Linked DNA regions of Nothobranchius furzeri. The protein of the gene in region 2 binds, or shares a complex with, the protein of the main gene of each other region. Links are inferred from orthologs where the notes say so. Each region holds a gene or a part of one and is shown on either strand. Other genes may lie near its edges.

Region 1 (8,193 bases), on a different chromosome or scaffold from region 2:
ACCGGTGAAGGCCGTGGAACCGTATCTAGGAGTCAATGTGCTCTCTAACCCATTATCTCCCTCCCCTGTCCAAACGGAGGTGTTGAGCGCTGCTCCATGCGGCTGCACGCACTGAAGTGAGGAGAGTCCCCAACCCTACCTCCCCACCTAGTGGACACTTATGTTGTGTAATGTCTGAAGTCTGTGTGCATTTCTGTCTGAGGTGTCTTTTTGCATAGCAAAGCAGCCCTCTCTGTTGAGGGTAACTCTGAAGTGCCTTTTTCACCTCCCCCAGACTCTATCCTCATATAAACCCTCTTGATCTGTAACGGTAGCGCGACTCGTGTTGCGAATGACCACAGTCACCAATTCTTGTCATTTGTCTATGTATGTATGTCTGATCTCAGAATTGTGTGTACTGAAACTCTAATTTCCCTCTGGGATTAATAAAGTATTTTTGAATTTGAACTGAATTGATTCTAAGTCATGGAAGAAGTTCATGTTGATTTAGGAAATCATTCTTGAATTTAACAACTGATCCGAGCTGGAGTGTTCCTTATGTGGAGGCCTTGAGGAAGAAAGTTATTGTTGTCACAGCCGCAGAGTCTGTGAGCTCCAGCTGGTATGAAGGCAGGCTCATTTAAAGGGAACACAAGCAGTCTTGTGTCTCCTGTTTGACCAGATGTTGAATAGACGTTGAAAGGCCATACTGTACCTAAAACTGACCATTGCTGGACGTTGCAAGAGTATTTACTTAAATGTAAAATATACTTTTGGGAAAGTTTTTTTTAACTTTTTTTTTTTTTTACAAAAATTCATTATAAAAAAACTAAAATAGCCAGAAGTTTGATTTTGCCAGCAGCGATCAACAAAAGCCTCCCATTCACAACCACTGCTGCAGACTGGTGTGTGGGCTAGCAGTCATGCTGGCAGCAGAGCCCAGACTGCAAACACCAAAACTAGCATTGATCCATAAACAACAACAGACTCCAGGTGAACGAATACCAGGAAGTGAGCGAGATGCCCTGACACGTCCCCGTGAATTTCCCAAGTTCTTCCTCTCCTCTAATTTGAATGCTAACTCATTGGCAGATGGGTCTCAGGGCTCTATCCAGCCCATCTTTCTCCTCTCCTCCATCCCCAGCTGAGCTGCTCCAGCGTTTTACCTCCAGGGAAGGCTCAGCCAGCACAGCCCCCCCGTGGCTTCAACGTGCTGGCTGCTGTGTGCAGAGGATGGGCTCCTTCCAGCTGCAGATACGCCCTGTGTTGCATATTCCTTTAGGTGCGCCTCTGTCTGTACCACACAATTACCGCCTCGCTTATGCATTCACATCACTGTCACAGCTGGAATAAACAATGCATATCTAATCATGCGTGCCATAAACTCCCCCCCCCCCCCCCACCTTGTCTGTTTGAGTTTCCAGTCTGGATGGAGGGGATGAAGAATTTATCCAGACTGTCTCAAGACTAGGATGTGAGGTCCACACTTTTAATCCCAGCATCTCCGATGCATCCGACGATCACCTTGGCAACGGTTTGGCTAGTAACCATGACAACAGAGGCGGTGTCATCCAGCACACAATGTGGCTGGAGTGGCGAGCCCCAAGGAGGCGTAAGCACAAGATGAGGGGGAACCTGGGCAGTGTCTCGCAAACACTGGCAGATATCATTGCCGCCTTGGGACACCACACTGTAAGACACACACACACACACACACACACAGTTATACACACACTCATACACACACACAGACAGGAAGAAACCCCGCCAAACAAACACACCTTAGTGTCTTTTCACCCCCAACATACCCAGAAAGCTCATTTTTCTTGGCCGTTCCCATAGTAACAGGGCTCTGCGCCATCTCTGGCTGCCATGGCAACAGTTTAGGTGAGTGAATCATACGGGGGTCCAGCTACATCCGGCTGCCACAAGAGGGAGACACATACTTGCACTTGGTGATAAAACATTTAAGATCAGGGAGTCTTGTTTTAAGATGCAGTTGAAGAATTATTCCCATAGCTAACTTATATATATATATTATTTATTTATTTTTCCCTTTAGGTTCATTTTTTTGTATGCTGACCTCTTAAGAGCTGAGTGGCGGGTTTTCCAAAACTGGATCGAAGCAGGAACTCTGGAAAACATCCATCATCTGGTTGCCATGGTGCACCTGCACTGGCCAGGGTTTGAGGTGGGAGGGGCTGATGAGGAAGTTCTCTGCTGCTGGTTCAGTGTCCTTCAGCGGATTGAAGCTTCAGGCCTCTACCTGCTTCACAGCTCTTCTGGGAAGGGTCATAGTGTCCTGAAACAGACAGAAGCAATCGCTCACAGCTCCTACACACTCAGCTGGGTCAACACCCGGCGCTGACATGGAGAGCTGTGGTGCTGGAGATGGTGCTGCACTGAAACTGGATGAGTTTGGTGGAAAGACACTAGTTTTCAGACTCACTGCTCCGCGCGATAGCTCCCTCTAGTGGACATTATAAGTGTTGCATTTTGTATTTTAGGTGTTATTTTTTTCTGTAAACGTGATTTAAAACAGAGATTATAAAGAAAGAATAAATATTGTTTGTTAAATATGTGTTGAGAGTAAATTAATAAAATAAAAAAAATCTAGACATTTTACTTTTTCCAACATGTTACTTGTAAAAAATCAAATGTGCTTTTGCTTTATCTTAATCAGTGATACTATTCACAAATCGGATTCATTTCGATAAAATAAAACATTTTCAGTCTGTTGTATGAAATAAAAAACAAATCAGAAAATACTTTGATGTATTTGTGCACATTAAAATAACCCTTCATGACTTTGTGCAATAGATATTTAAAGTACAAAGCAAAGTATTTTGAGTTGTGTGCCAATGCAAATGCACATACAAACGTTTTCATTCTCCTTTCTCTATCCTGGACAACAAATATGAAACTATTTTAATTGAAATTTACAAAAATACAACAAGAAACGCCAGAAAGTTCTTCTTAATAGATGTTTACCTACAAAAACACTTTTAAAAACATTTTAAACCAAATACATGTTGCTGTGAAGACTCTTGATCTTTAATTTAAGGTGATGTTCTGTAATATTGCATTGTTCAATAAGGAAATTGCCTTCTGCATCACTACTGTGAATGACTCAGCCTTCCACCGCTCTCATGTTGTAATTTGATGTGGGTTGCACTAACAACAAACCTGTCTGACATGATCCTGTAGGTATTTTCTGCATTATTTCTCTTCAGGTTGGGTAATGCAGCAGTTAGATTTCTCAATTCATTTTTACACTTTAGAAATACATCCATTACTTGCAATGACAGTTTAAATTCAACACAAAGGTTTACAACTAGAATGTTGATGCAATATGTGTGTTGTCTAAGTGTTAAAAGTACACACAAGAAAACAAAGCACCGTCTCATCATTAAGCACCCATAATCCTGTTGCCTAGCTGCAATGTTGCAAAGTTGAGCCTCGCGTTTTAACTTCCCTCACGCATGATTTATTATTTTCTGTTGCTTTACTTTCTTTCAGTGTGAATGGGCCGAGCCTGCTGCGCAGGATGCTTTCAACAACGCATCTCTCTCGTGTTCCTTTTAACTTTTAATGTGTTGTTCTCATTCATAGAGCACCGAGATGCCGGTCATTCCTGGGACGCGTTCCAACTCGCGGGAGCGCATGTCGGAATGCAGCCTCCGCCCCCCCTTACTAAGATTGCGGACAGATGTTTGCTCCTAGGGTGGAGCTGCGCTTTTTACGTTGACGTTTCAACATCCTGTCAGCTAAATCCTCCGACAGCCGCGTTAGCCAATCAGCTTCGAGCAACTCCACCCCTCGACCAATCAGAAGTTTGCATTTTCGGGAGCTCACGCGCTGTTTAGCTCGAGCGCTTTACTGTGCCGCTCTGGATTTTTTTAGACAATCATAACAGCAGTCAGAAAACGGGCGCTGTAGAGAGACTCTGCGGCTTCAGTTTTTTACGGTAAGTAAATAATAATCAGTTAGTGTTGTTTTTGTCAAGTTGGCGCGTAAATACGAGCCTGTTTAGCTGCTTTTTCGGTGTAGCGGACGCCCACAAGTTACTTCCTGCTCTGACGAGGCCGTGATCCCAAAGTAAACTAGCTTGTTTTAGCTAGCTAGTTTTAGCTAATGTTGTGGACATTAAAGAAAATCAACGATTTTATCGCGTTTTGATTTGTTAAGCCCGAACTTTTAATTTAGAGAACCTGATTATGTCTAAAGTAGATAAAACTAATTTATCTTAGTTTGTCCTAGAGGCAGGGAGTGAGTCACTGTCGGAACAACATGAGCTTCCCAAAACTAGCAAGTTGTTCTCCAAAAAGTGTGTAAACCTGCGCCATTTGGACACAGTCTGGCTGAAAACTAAGAGAGGAAAGTGAGGACACTTTTGACTGACACGCATAATTAAGTAGGTGACATTTATGCCATGATTCATCGCTTTCTGATGCTTCACAGTTCACATGAAACGCTTGTAATTAGGGAACCTAAATGGGTTTCAGGAAGCCCAACAAACCAGAAACTGCAGATCTCTGAGGGCCTAATGGGAGTTGCTTGTTTCATAAATGAGCTACTGCTTAGTTCTAGAGAAATAATCAGTTATATTTATCATGCTGCAAGCACTGATGTGGGGAAGCTATGAGCTGAAATAAACTCTGGTCTATTTTTACTGCTGAGATGAGCAAAGTTTTAGTTTTGCTTCTGCTTTGTTGTCTGGTTCAGTTTTATTTTTACATGTCTGTGTTTGCCATGAGCCTGACTTTAAAGTGTGTAGTTTTATTGCTGGTATAAATTCTTACCAGAACGGAACTTATGTTGCAGTAACATTTACGATATGGTGCAATGATTTTGAGATGACGTTTATTGAAAATAACCCTTCAAAAAAACTTTATTCATCTTGAATATTGTGGTAAATCCATGTTTTCCGTGCACCTTTCCTCATGTGCGATCAGCATGCTAATGTATGTCACAAACTAAGAGTTATTGCAGTCGAAGCAGTTATTCGTTAACTTTTTTTTTACTAATACTGCAATAATGCTACCATTTCAATGTATTTTGCAGCCCCTTCAGTGTTCTTAGATATACAACAAATCTCTGATTTTACTGTAGTACGTTAGAAAAAATTGGCCTTTAAATAAATTTCTGAACGTACTAATGGAACAAAAACTTTTCATTAATATATATGTTGTTTGTGTTTGGCATGTACATTTGTCTGTAGCAACCCAGAAATGAGGATGAGGAAGTGAAATAGTTCTTTTGAGCTCATATTTAGTGTCTGTTTATGTCTTTGTGTGTCCTCATTGGTGTAAGTTGCTGGAAAATCTAGATAACTAACCTTAAAAGTGCTTGAATTAAATTTTTTCAAGGCTGCCGCCTCCTGTCTTTTGAGGTTTAGATGCCTTTCATGTCTTTAAAAAAATGCACAGCTTACTGTAAAGTGACTGAACATTAAGCCAAAGAAAACTTAAAGGTGTAGTATGTAAAATATATAGTGAGAAATTACAGTGAGAAAATCCCAAAAGATCCCAAAAAGCTCCAGAGTTGTTTAAAGTGGTAGCATGAAACAAATTTGAACACAGTATATCATTTTTAGTTAATTTTTACATAATGCACCTTTTAAAGAAAAGAGGAATGACTAAATATTTATTTGCAGGTATTTAATCACCTTATCCATTTGGCTTGAATAACTCTTCCATCCCTCTTTGTCAGGGTTGGGTCTGCTGCCCGCCACAGCCCATCATGCCTTTGGTGACGAGGAATATTGAGCCGCGGCATGTGTGTCGCCAAACCCTCCCCTCCACCATCCGCAGTGAGCTGGAGTGTGTGACCAACATCAGCCTGGCCAACATCATCCGTCAGCTCGGCAGTCTCAGTGAGTGATGTGCAGTAAAACATGGCGGCTGAGCTAATACAGGGGTGGACATTAACTTCAAAACCAACCGGCCAGCCGGGCCGGTAACTCTGAATATTTACCGGCCCCGCTGGTCAGCTGCCAAAACGAGTCAAAATAACAACTGAACTGTTTTAAATGTAATAAACCTTTATTTTGTACACATTCACAAACATAATAACGTATTCAAGTTTGAATTTGTTTGTTCCCTCAACAAAACACGATTTTGTCGTCGCATACTTCCGGCATACAACGCAGTACATCACCAACTCCGCTTTGCTGTACTCGAGCCATTGGCTGTGTTCGAGATGAGCCAGTTCTGCGCAGATTAGACCAGCGGCGATCGGCGAGCAGTGCATGCCGGTTAGATTTGTGTCCGACTTGACGCCGACTTGCTCTGACGTCATGCACACGTAGGCAACGATAACCTCGTGAGATCAAGGCGACCGCAGATTTTGGAGCAAGGCGCTGCAGTTGCTCTCCCTCGGCTGCAAAACCTAGAGGATGACGGGAAACGCCTGGCTCTCACCCGATCTAAGATCTGATTGGTTCATATTTTGATCCAAACATCCGGTGGTAGAACATGAAATGTTAGTTGGTCACATGTATTCTGTAGGGCTGGGGGTAAACGATTATTTTTAAAACGATTATTCTGACGATTATTTTATCGAATAGTCGACTATTCTAATGACTATTTAGAAAATTAATCTAATGATTATTTTTCTATTGCACAATTAACAAAAACCAGAAAATCTCAAATAAATTCCTCAAAAAAATTGATAAATTCTTACTGTAAGAGAATAAACACTACAGGCCTTCCATTTTGTATAACACTGCGTTTATTGTGTTGGTTGGTTATGTTCTGGTGACGTGTAGAACTTGGGAGAGCAGGCTGCTGTCTGAGAGGTGGTAGAAGATGGAGTGTCTCCATGCTGCTTTGTTTTGGTCACTTATGTGCGTGAGGCGAGTGGTCTTACGGGTTAAACCAAACTCAGGTGATATTTTACACTAAACCGAAAACCCACAACACTCTAAATGTAATAAAAGGGAGATCTACACCACAAAAAAGATGAACTCTAAACCAAAACGTAACAGCTTATCCCAACGCAAGAAGCTGTTAGCGAAGATGCTAACAGTAGCTTTACCAACGTTAAGTTCAAGTTACCAAGTTTAAATAAACCAAAAACACCCAGCAGCAAACAGACCAGCACGGAGGAGAGACTGCTACCACCAAAACAGCTCTCCTCATGTCTGAAAGAAGCTCCTTAATGAAGGGAGAAGCGCTCCCGGTGATTTTCTACATCTGCGGTAGACACGAAGCAGCACATCTGACCCCGGAAGTTGTTGTCCGTTGCCGGGAGACGAAGGCGGGCAAAACAGGAAAATAATCTAGTAGTGGACGGACGTTGTTCCGGGTCTTTGGTATTTGGCGGAGATGTTAGTGAAGGCGGAGAAGAGGGCGAACTAGAGGAAAAACAGGCAGATTCCTCCTCTATTTACAAACTCCTGCGGATGCAACAAGTGGGCGCGGTGCGTCCACTACCAGATCTGACGTCGACAAATTTTTAGAATCGAGCCGTCGACGTCGTCGAGGCTTCGCTACAGCCCTAGTATTCTGTAAATCATGTTATGTTGATGATGACAACTATATAGGCCATGAAGAGAAATGTTTTTTGTGTTCTTTTGTCACGTTTCCTATGAGCACACTGAAGCTACAGCTGATAACCTTTACTCATTATTACAGTCAGGTCTCCAAATACAATATATGATATCCACAAGCACGTGAGGATGTGTTTCAGCTGCTAACAGGCACCAGAATTAAAATAGAAAATTGAACAAGTGTGAACGCTAACGCCATATCTTCAGCCATCGTCGCCCCCGAGCTACACATGTAGGGAAATCTGTCCGACTTAAACGCCGGCTTTCAGCCACTCCCCCTGCTGCTTACGTCTGCTCTCGTCTGTTTTCCAGGCGAGGCGCTGCTCAGCTCGAACATGGCCATTCTCTGCGCCTCCCGTCTTCTTTAAACCGCCAAGAATCATTCCACCTACGCACACGCTTCTCTGCTTCATACCGTTTCCAACTGTCTCGCTTCTCCTCACCAGTTTTAAAGCGTTTTGCCGGAGATTTCATCAAGAAATCCCATCCCTGTGGCGGCGCCATCTTCCTGTGTGCTTGTGTGTTTCTAGCGTGGTGGTTCCACTTCGTCTTTAATAGTGAACTTATAGTTCACGTGACTAGAACTAGATTCGTGCAGTACGTGGCTAGAGGCGCGCCGGTTCACGCGCGCGAAACGAAAACGGCGGCTTCCTACAGGGCGC
Region 2 (6,564 bases):
CAGCATGGATGCCGTTTTTATATCATAATTTATTTTTACTAAAGCTGGATGAGTGATATGCGGATGTCCAGGTGGACTCAAGTTTGTTTTCTGCTGCTCTTTCTAGCAAATCGCCATCGCCCGTGAGGGTGACCTACTGACGAAAGAGAGGCTGTGCTGCGGCCTGTCCATGTTCGAAGTTATCCTCACACGTGTGCGGGGCTTCCTGGACGACCCGATCTGGCGCGGGCCGTTGCCCAGTAATGGCGTGATGCACGTGGACGAGTGTGTGGAGTTCCACCGTCTCTGGAGCGCCATGCAGTTTGTGTACTGCATTCCTGTGGGAGCGCATGAGTTCACTGTGGAGTGAGTGCAGCAGCTCACATTTCTAACAAAAACAACAGAACACAGACGCTGTTTCCTAATGTGTCACATTCCCTTTCTCCAGGCAGTGCTTTGGTGATGGCCTCCACTGGGCCGGCTGCATGATCATCGCTCTCCTAGGACAACAGAGACGCTTTGACATCCTGGACTTCAGCTACCACCTCCTCAAAGTGCAGAAGCATGACGGCAAAGATGAGATCATCAAGAGTGTGGTAAGTCAGAGACGAGAACTCCAACCGTTAAAATCGTTATCATATGACTGTTGCTTTGTGCTCGTATCACCACCTTCTGCTGTAGGGTTAGAGTCTTTGTAGCCCGGTGTCTCTCTGACAGTAGGAGGGAACAGAACCGCTGCAGAAGGATGCGGTCCAGTTCCGTATGGCTTCTGCAAAGATCAAGAATCTTTGAGCCCAATCAGAGCAGGTCATTCACACCTGCTGCGCCTGCGGTACGTTGCAGATTCAGGTGCAGAGCTCCGGATTGTCAGGAAGTCATAGAAATGACCTGAGCCGAACGAGAAGAGAGAGGTAGAACTGCGAGGTGCATCTGGTGACGTTAACATTGAAATATGTGTTGCATTATTTTTGCTGGCTTGAAGGGATGTAAGAAAATATCGATATAGCAATATATAGTGATTTTTTTTATTTTTTGCAATATTACATCAATATTAATAAGCTATGTATCTAACTTTTGGAAGAATTCAGTCAAACATTTGTGTATTTTCTTTGCTTTTGGGTGCAATTCAAATGCCGACCGCTAGTTGGCAGCAGTGTGCAAAGGGTTTTGTTTCCACCATTGAAATGTAAATCCCTCAATTAGGGTTCAGATACCTCACGTTAAACATGTTAAGTATCGGTTTGGACTGTTTATGGGATATTCCAACAATAAATTCAGTCAAAAAGAATTTGCTGAGAACATCTAACTGAATGTATCACGACGTATCGTCTCACCTGGATCGTGATACGTATCGTATCCCCAGAATTTCACCAATACACATTCCTATTGGCTTGCGTCTTATTATTAATGACAGGGATTTCAGTTAAGTGTATGATGGTCCACATTATTTTTACAGGTATGTCTTTTCATGTATTATGTCAAATTTCTAATCATTTGGTGCTCTTTTGGGAACAAATTTCCAGATGTTCAGCACACGAACTAGCCAGCCAATCCTATACATAAAGGGCCTGTATTTGTATAGCGCCTTCTAGGGTTCTACAACCCCCCAAGGCGCTTCACAACACAGTCATTCACACTCTGGTGGGGATTAGCTACAGTGTAGCTACAGCTGCCCTGGGGCGCACTGACAGAGGCGAGGCTGCCGAGCACAGGCGCACCGCTCCCTCCGACCACCACCAGCAGGCAAGGTGGGTTAAGTGTCTTGCCCAAGGACACAACTGCAGAATTCTCTGGACAACCTCCTCTACCTCCTGAGCTACTGCTGTCCCATATGAATATATAGTCTTGCCATGACGTATTGACAGCTCTGTCGTGGGACGGAATCTATGGTTGTCTTTGAAACTGTTGAAGACACCAATGCGTCCTTTTCTAAAGAAACTTGAGTATCTCTATCTGTCCTAGACGCAAAGAAAAGTCTAAATAGTCCAAAGTTGATGCCAAAGCTGTTTCCAACGAGCCATTGCCATCTTAGTTTCATTCAAAGTAACATCCTGCCCACCAAACCGATGGAGCACTGTGATTGGCCCACCAAACCGATAAAACGCTGTGATTGGCCCACCAAACCGATAAAACGCTGTGATTGGCCCACCAAACCGATGGAGCACTGTGATTGGCCCACCAAACCGATGGAGCACTGTGATTGGCCCACCAAACCGATGGAGCACTGTGATTGGCCCACCAAATCGATGGAGCACTGTGATTGGCCCACCAAACCGATGGAGCACTGTGATTGGCCCACCAAACCGATAAAACACTGATTGGCCCACCAAACCGATGGAGCACTGTGATTGGCCAGCCAGCAGGCTGTCCAGGACTTTGGAGGTTCCAGTGGAGAGTGGCTAGAGCGACATGCAGAGCAAAATGATTTTGCTTCAGCCACTGACGGTCTACATTTCTAGGCTGCTCATAAACTGTAGTCGGTGTGAATGGCAGTCCGTCCTGAAGCTGGACCATATCCGTTTTGTCCTCTGTAACGATGGGTTACTGACTTGATCACCACACACTAAAGCCTGCTTCATACTGCTGTTTGTGTGGGTACGGAGACACGCACCGCCATGATGCAAATGCACTGTAGCAAGCCTGCGGAGGTTGACGGAGACATGCCAGTTTTCTAATTATCTGTCAAAAGTGACTGAGACCTAAAGCCTGTGATTGGTCAGGACGCCACTTTCCTTTCAAAAAAATAGTGTATAGAAGGTGTCTAGCAGCAGACATGGAGCAGAACCAAGAACGCCTTATTTTGCATTTGTAACACTTCCCAAGCAACGGAGTCTCCATTTACCTGTAGCGGTCTTCCAGTCATTCAATACTTTTAACTCGTCGAGACTGAGAATGTATTCATAGAGCACTAAGGTTCTAATCACCCCTACCCCCTCACACTGGTCATTCACCCATTCACATGCTGGTGATGAGCTACATAGTAGCCACAGCTGCTCTGGGAGACTACCAGAAGTGAGGCTGCCTAACAGGTGCCACAGGTCCTTCCAAACACTTAAAACCAGATCTTTGGAGCACAAAACTACAAACGAGTTCATTTATTAAGTTAGGTATTTAAAATTATTTGTTTTTGCTGGAAATTCTTGGTTTGATGAGATTATTACCAAGTGAGTCAGCTCAGCTCTAGATGGTGTTTAGATATGTGGAAGCCAGTTTCACTGAGAATAACATCATTTTCCTGGTAGTTTTGGGAATATTGTTAGAAGATGTAAATTTTATTCCAATACGTTTATCATTAATCATCATCGAAGTTTGTTCATTAAGTTTTATGACAATCTCCGAATGAGATGCCCAGATTTTGACCCCTCCCCTACCCTTCTTTCCACAACGAACCTTTAATGTTGCCGTACTTCCCTGCACTCCATTGTGGACCTCGGACATGTGAGCAGACGTCTCGCGTTTCCACTGAAGACTGAGCAACACAACATCATGCATTCATGGTTTTGGTTTTCTTCTAGCCTCTGAAGAAGATGGTGGAACGAATCCGCAAATTCCAAGTCCTCAACGATGAGATCTTTGCCATCTTGAACAAGTACATGAAGTCTGGAGATGGAGAGAACATGCCGGTGGAGCACGTCAGATGCTTCCAGCCTCCGATTCACCAGTCGCTCGCCAGCAGCTGAGGTGCTGCTCAGAGCTCTTTCATGGACCAGAACGACACGCCAGCATTACCAGACCAACTACAACTCCTCGTCGTGTGTGTTAGGCTGTTAGGAGTAACGGACCATTAATGCAGTGCGTTAGGACCTTTTTTGTATTCACTTGTGCCTTAAGAGCAAAAATAGATACCGCCTCCATTGAAGAGCTATTCCTTTTCTACTTGCAGGTAGCTACAGATGACAGAGGGATGTTGGGTTCATCAGACGAGTATTTAAGGGTTTGCCGTGGTGAAATATTAAAGGGGAATTTATTTTAAGTAATTTTGTACTTTTAAACATGCATGCTAAAACATTTAAAGGAAATGTAATGATGCACAATGTTTTGTGAAGCAATTATTCACCGTGCCTTGTCTTTGTAATGTTTTAATCTTTTAATTCAATAAATACGTATCAAATCTGTTGGTTCTGGTGAAGAATTTATGTAAAAACTTCTCCCCGGGTCAGAAGGTCCCCAACTTAAGTTTCAAGTATCGTAAAAAGTCAAATCGGAGAATATTCCATTAAATTCAAAATCAGCAGGTCCTGATACAGAATATATATTAGCTTCAGATTTATAGAAAGTAAGTCAGTGCATGGAAATCATGTATGTATAACAAAACAACTCCCGTATGTACAGAGCTACAGCGGAACGGAGTCCTGTAACCGAACACGAGTCACGTTCAGAGGAAAGTAAGGCAAATTAAAACCAATACAATCGACAGGTCCGTCTACGTCCCCTCACAGTTGATTGTCTCATTGTTTATATAAACCATGTTATTACCACGGTTGAATCAAATCAAAGTTTATTACATATCTAAGGAGGACGTCATGGCTCCGTTCCTCCTTGAGACACTGTCAAAAGGCAGACTCACGTCTCTGCCCTCCATGTCCTCTGTGGACTCGTTGTGCAGCAGTTCATAGGTGCTGTGGGAGGCCATGCCGTTGACCGCTGGACACGCCCGTTCCTCTTTCCTCATGGACACGGCCAGAGAAGCCAAGCTAATGCTGACGTCTTTGAAGGCGTGCAGCAGGAAGATGCCTACAATGATCGTGAGGAAGCCGCTGAGGGTCCCGATCACGTCATCGGAGCCCATGTGCTCCCACTCCTTGAAGAGGATGGCGGAGCACGTGAGCACTGATGTGGTGAAGAACACGTAGTAGATGGGTGTCACCAGGGAGGTGTTGAATATGTCCAGAGCCTTGTTTAGGTAGTTTATCTGTGTGCTCACGCAGCCCACCAGACCAAAGACGAGGATCCAGGTCAGCGGGTTCTTCACCACACTCCTCCCAGCTATAGCATCCTTGATGGCAATCCCCAGTCCCTTAACACAGGACACGGACAGCGCCCCGATCACTGAGCAGATGGTGATGTAGACCAGGATATTGGTCTGACCGTGGCGTGGGCTGATGACAAATATGAAGATGAGGGCCACGATAACGACAAGAGTTGCAAAAACAAAAAACCCTTAGAAAAAAGAAGAAATTCAACATTTAATGACTTTAAAAATACAAGTTTATGTACAAGTATATAGTGTTATCCCTGCTTTCTGGTACTGGTGTAATCCTGATTAAGAGAAATTTTATTAATACTAATAGTTTAATACTGACTGGTTACTGCTGTGACATCAGTTCCAATAAACTCAGACTTAGGCTGTCTACTCATTCCCAACACTCCAGAGGAAACTAAATTAACACAGCAGAGCTTCTTGTCCCCTAGTCTGGATTAGATTAAAAACTCTAGATTAGTAGTTCTATAACAATAGTACCAGAGGTTTGGTCTCAGTCCTCATTCACACAAAACGTTGTGTTTCATGCATTTGACATGTTTTCTACTCAAATTAAACCAGTTTAATGAGTTTACAGAACAACAACACACACAATCTCACTATCAGACTCTGTTACAGCAGATTTTATTAAAGGACGGAAGGAAATAAAAGTCCTGATAGGAAAAACTAGATTCACCCATGAATAAACAAAATGGCTGCTGATCGCCAGTATCGAGCATAGCCGGCTAAGGAATTGGCCAAACTGAATATCAAAACTCCAGATTTTTCCCAGTTAATGAACTCATCATTGCTAAGAGCTAACATGCTAGGAATGGCAGAACTCCATGTGGAAGTTGGTACCAGCAGGTTAAAACTAAGGACCAGCATCCACCCTCAGAACAAGGACCTGTGCATCTCTAATGACCGGAGTTGGAAGAGGAGGATGTTGCATAAAGCTCTCAGTTGTGTAAACCTGCTGCTGTTTGGATCAGAACAGAAAGTTTCTGTCTCATAAAATCCCTTCAAATTAATATTGTCTTAAACACTCTCTGGTGTGAAGATGTCTCCAACAGCCCAAGCTGGACGTTTCCCTTCAGGGTGTCGCCGAAGCCAATCCATCTCCTTTTAGTCCGTCTGCTGCATCCTCTACCCGGACTCTAACCTCACTCGTTCTACAAGGTCAGTTTAATTTATAATCCTGCTTTTGAGTAATAATCCAGATTTGTACTGTTTATTCATTTCCTGTAGTTCTATGTATATAGTACTACAGACCTTGAGCCCTGCAGGAACTCCTGCTTCATGGCACAACCACACTGACCGATGCTGTCATGGTGATAAATACGACAGACCTTTTGATTCGTGCCAGGCTGTAAAGCTAGTCTCTTCTGTACCTGGGTCGACCAGTTTCTTGGCCATGTCTTCCAGGCTGCTGATCTCCTCCTCCTGCGGAGCGTGAATCACCATGGTGGTGGAGCCCAGGATGCTCAGTAGACAGCCGAGCTTCCCGTGCAGGTTTAACCGCTCCGTCAGGAAGTAGGACGACAACACCGCGCTACAACAAAAACCCAAACACTTCTCATGGTGATTTGTACAAGATACAGAAAGAACCCGATGTGCAGATGTGA

The links. The genes of interacting proteins can lie anywhere in the genome.
Region 1: cyfip1 (region 2) and wasf2 share a complex: the UniProt entries of both Homo sapiens proteins name them as parts of the WAVE2 complex. The link is inferred for Nothobranchius furzeri from reciprocal best matches to the Homo sapiens genes CYFIP1 and WASF2.

What each region holds. Positions count from the first base shown.
Region 1 is NC_091759.1:21,186,588-21,194,780, forward strand, and holds the start of wasf2 (actin-binding protein WASF2), read left to right. Parts: upstream 1-3,823; 5' UTR 3,824-3,946; intron 3,947-5,691; 5' UTR 5,692-5,721; coding exon 5,722-5,854; intron 5,855-8,193. UniProt on the Homo sapiens protein: Downstream effector molecule involved in the transmission of signals from tyrosine kinase receptors and small GTPases to the actin cytoskeleton. Promotes formation of actin filaments. Part of the WAVE complex that regulates lamellipodia formation.
Region 2 is NC_091756.1:62,400,428-62,406,991, reverse strand, and holds the end of cyfip1 (cytoplasmic FMR1-interacting protein 1 homolog), read left to right. Parts: intron 1-106; coding exon 107-345; intron 346-427; coding exon 428-575; intron 576-3,494; coding exon 3,495-3,659; 3' UTR 3,660-4,094; downstream 4,095-6,564. Other genes in the region: magnesium transporter NIPA2, read right to left, coding at 4,481-5,139, 6,331-6,491. UniProt on the Homo sapiens protein: Component of the CYFIP1-EIF4E-FMR1 complex which binds to the mRNA cap and mediates translational repression. In the CYFIP1-EIF4E-FMR1 complex this subunit is an adapter between EIF4E and FMR1.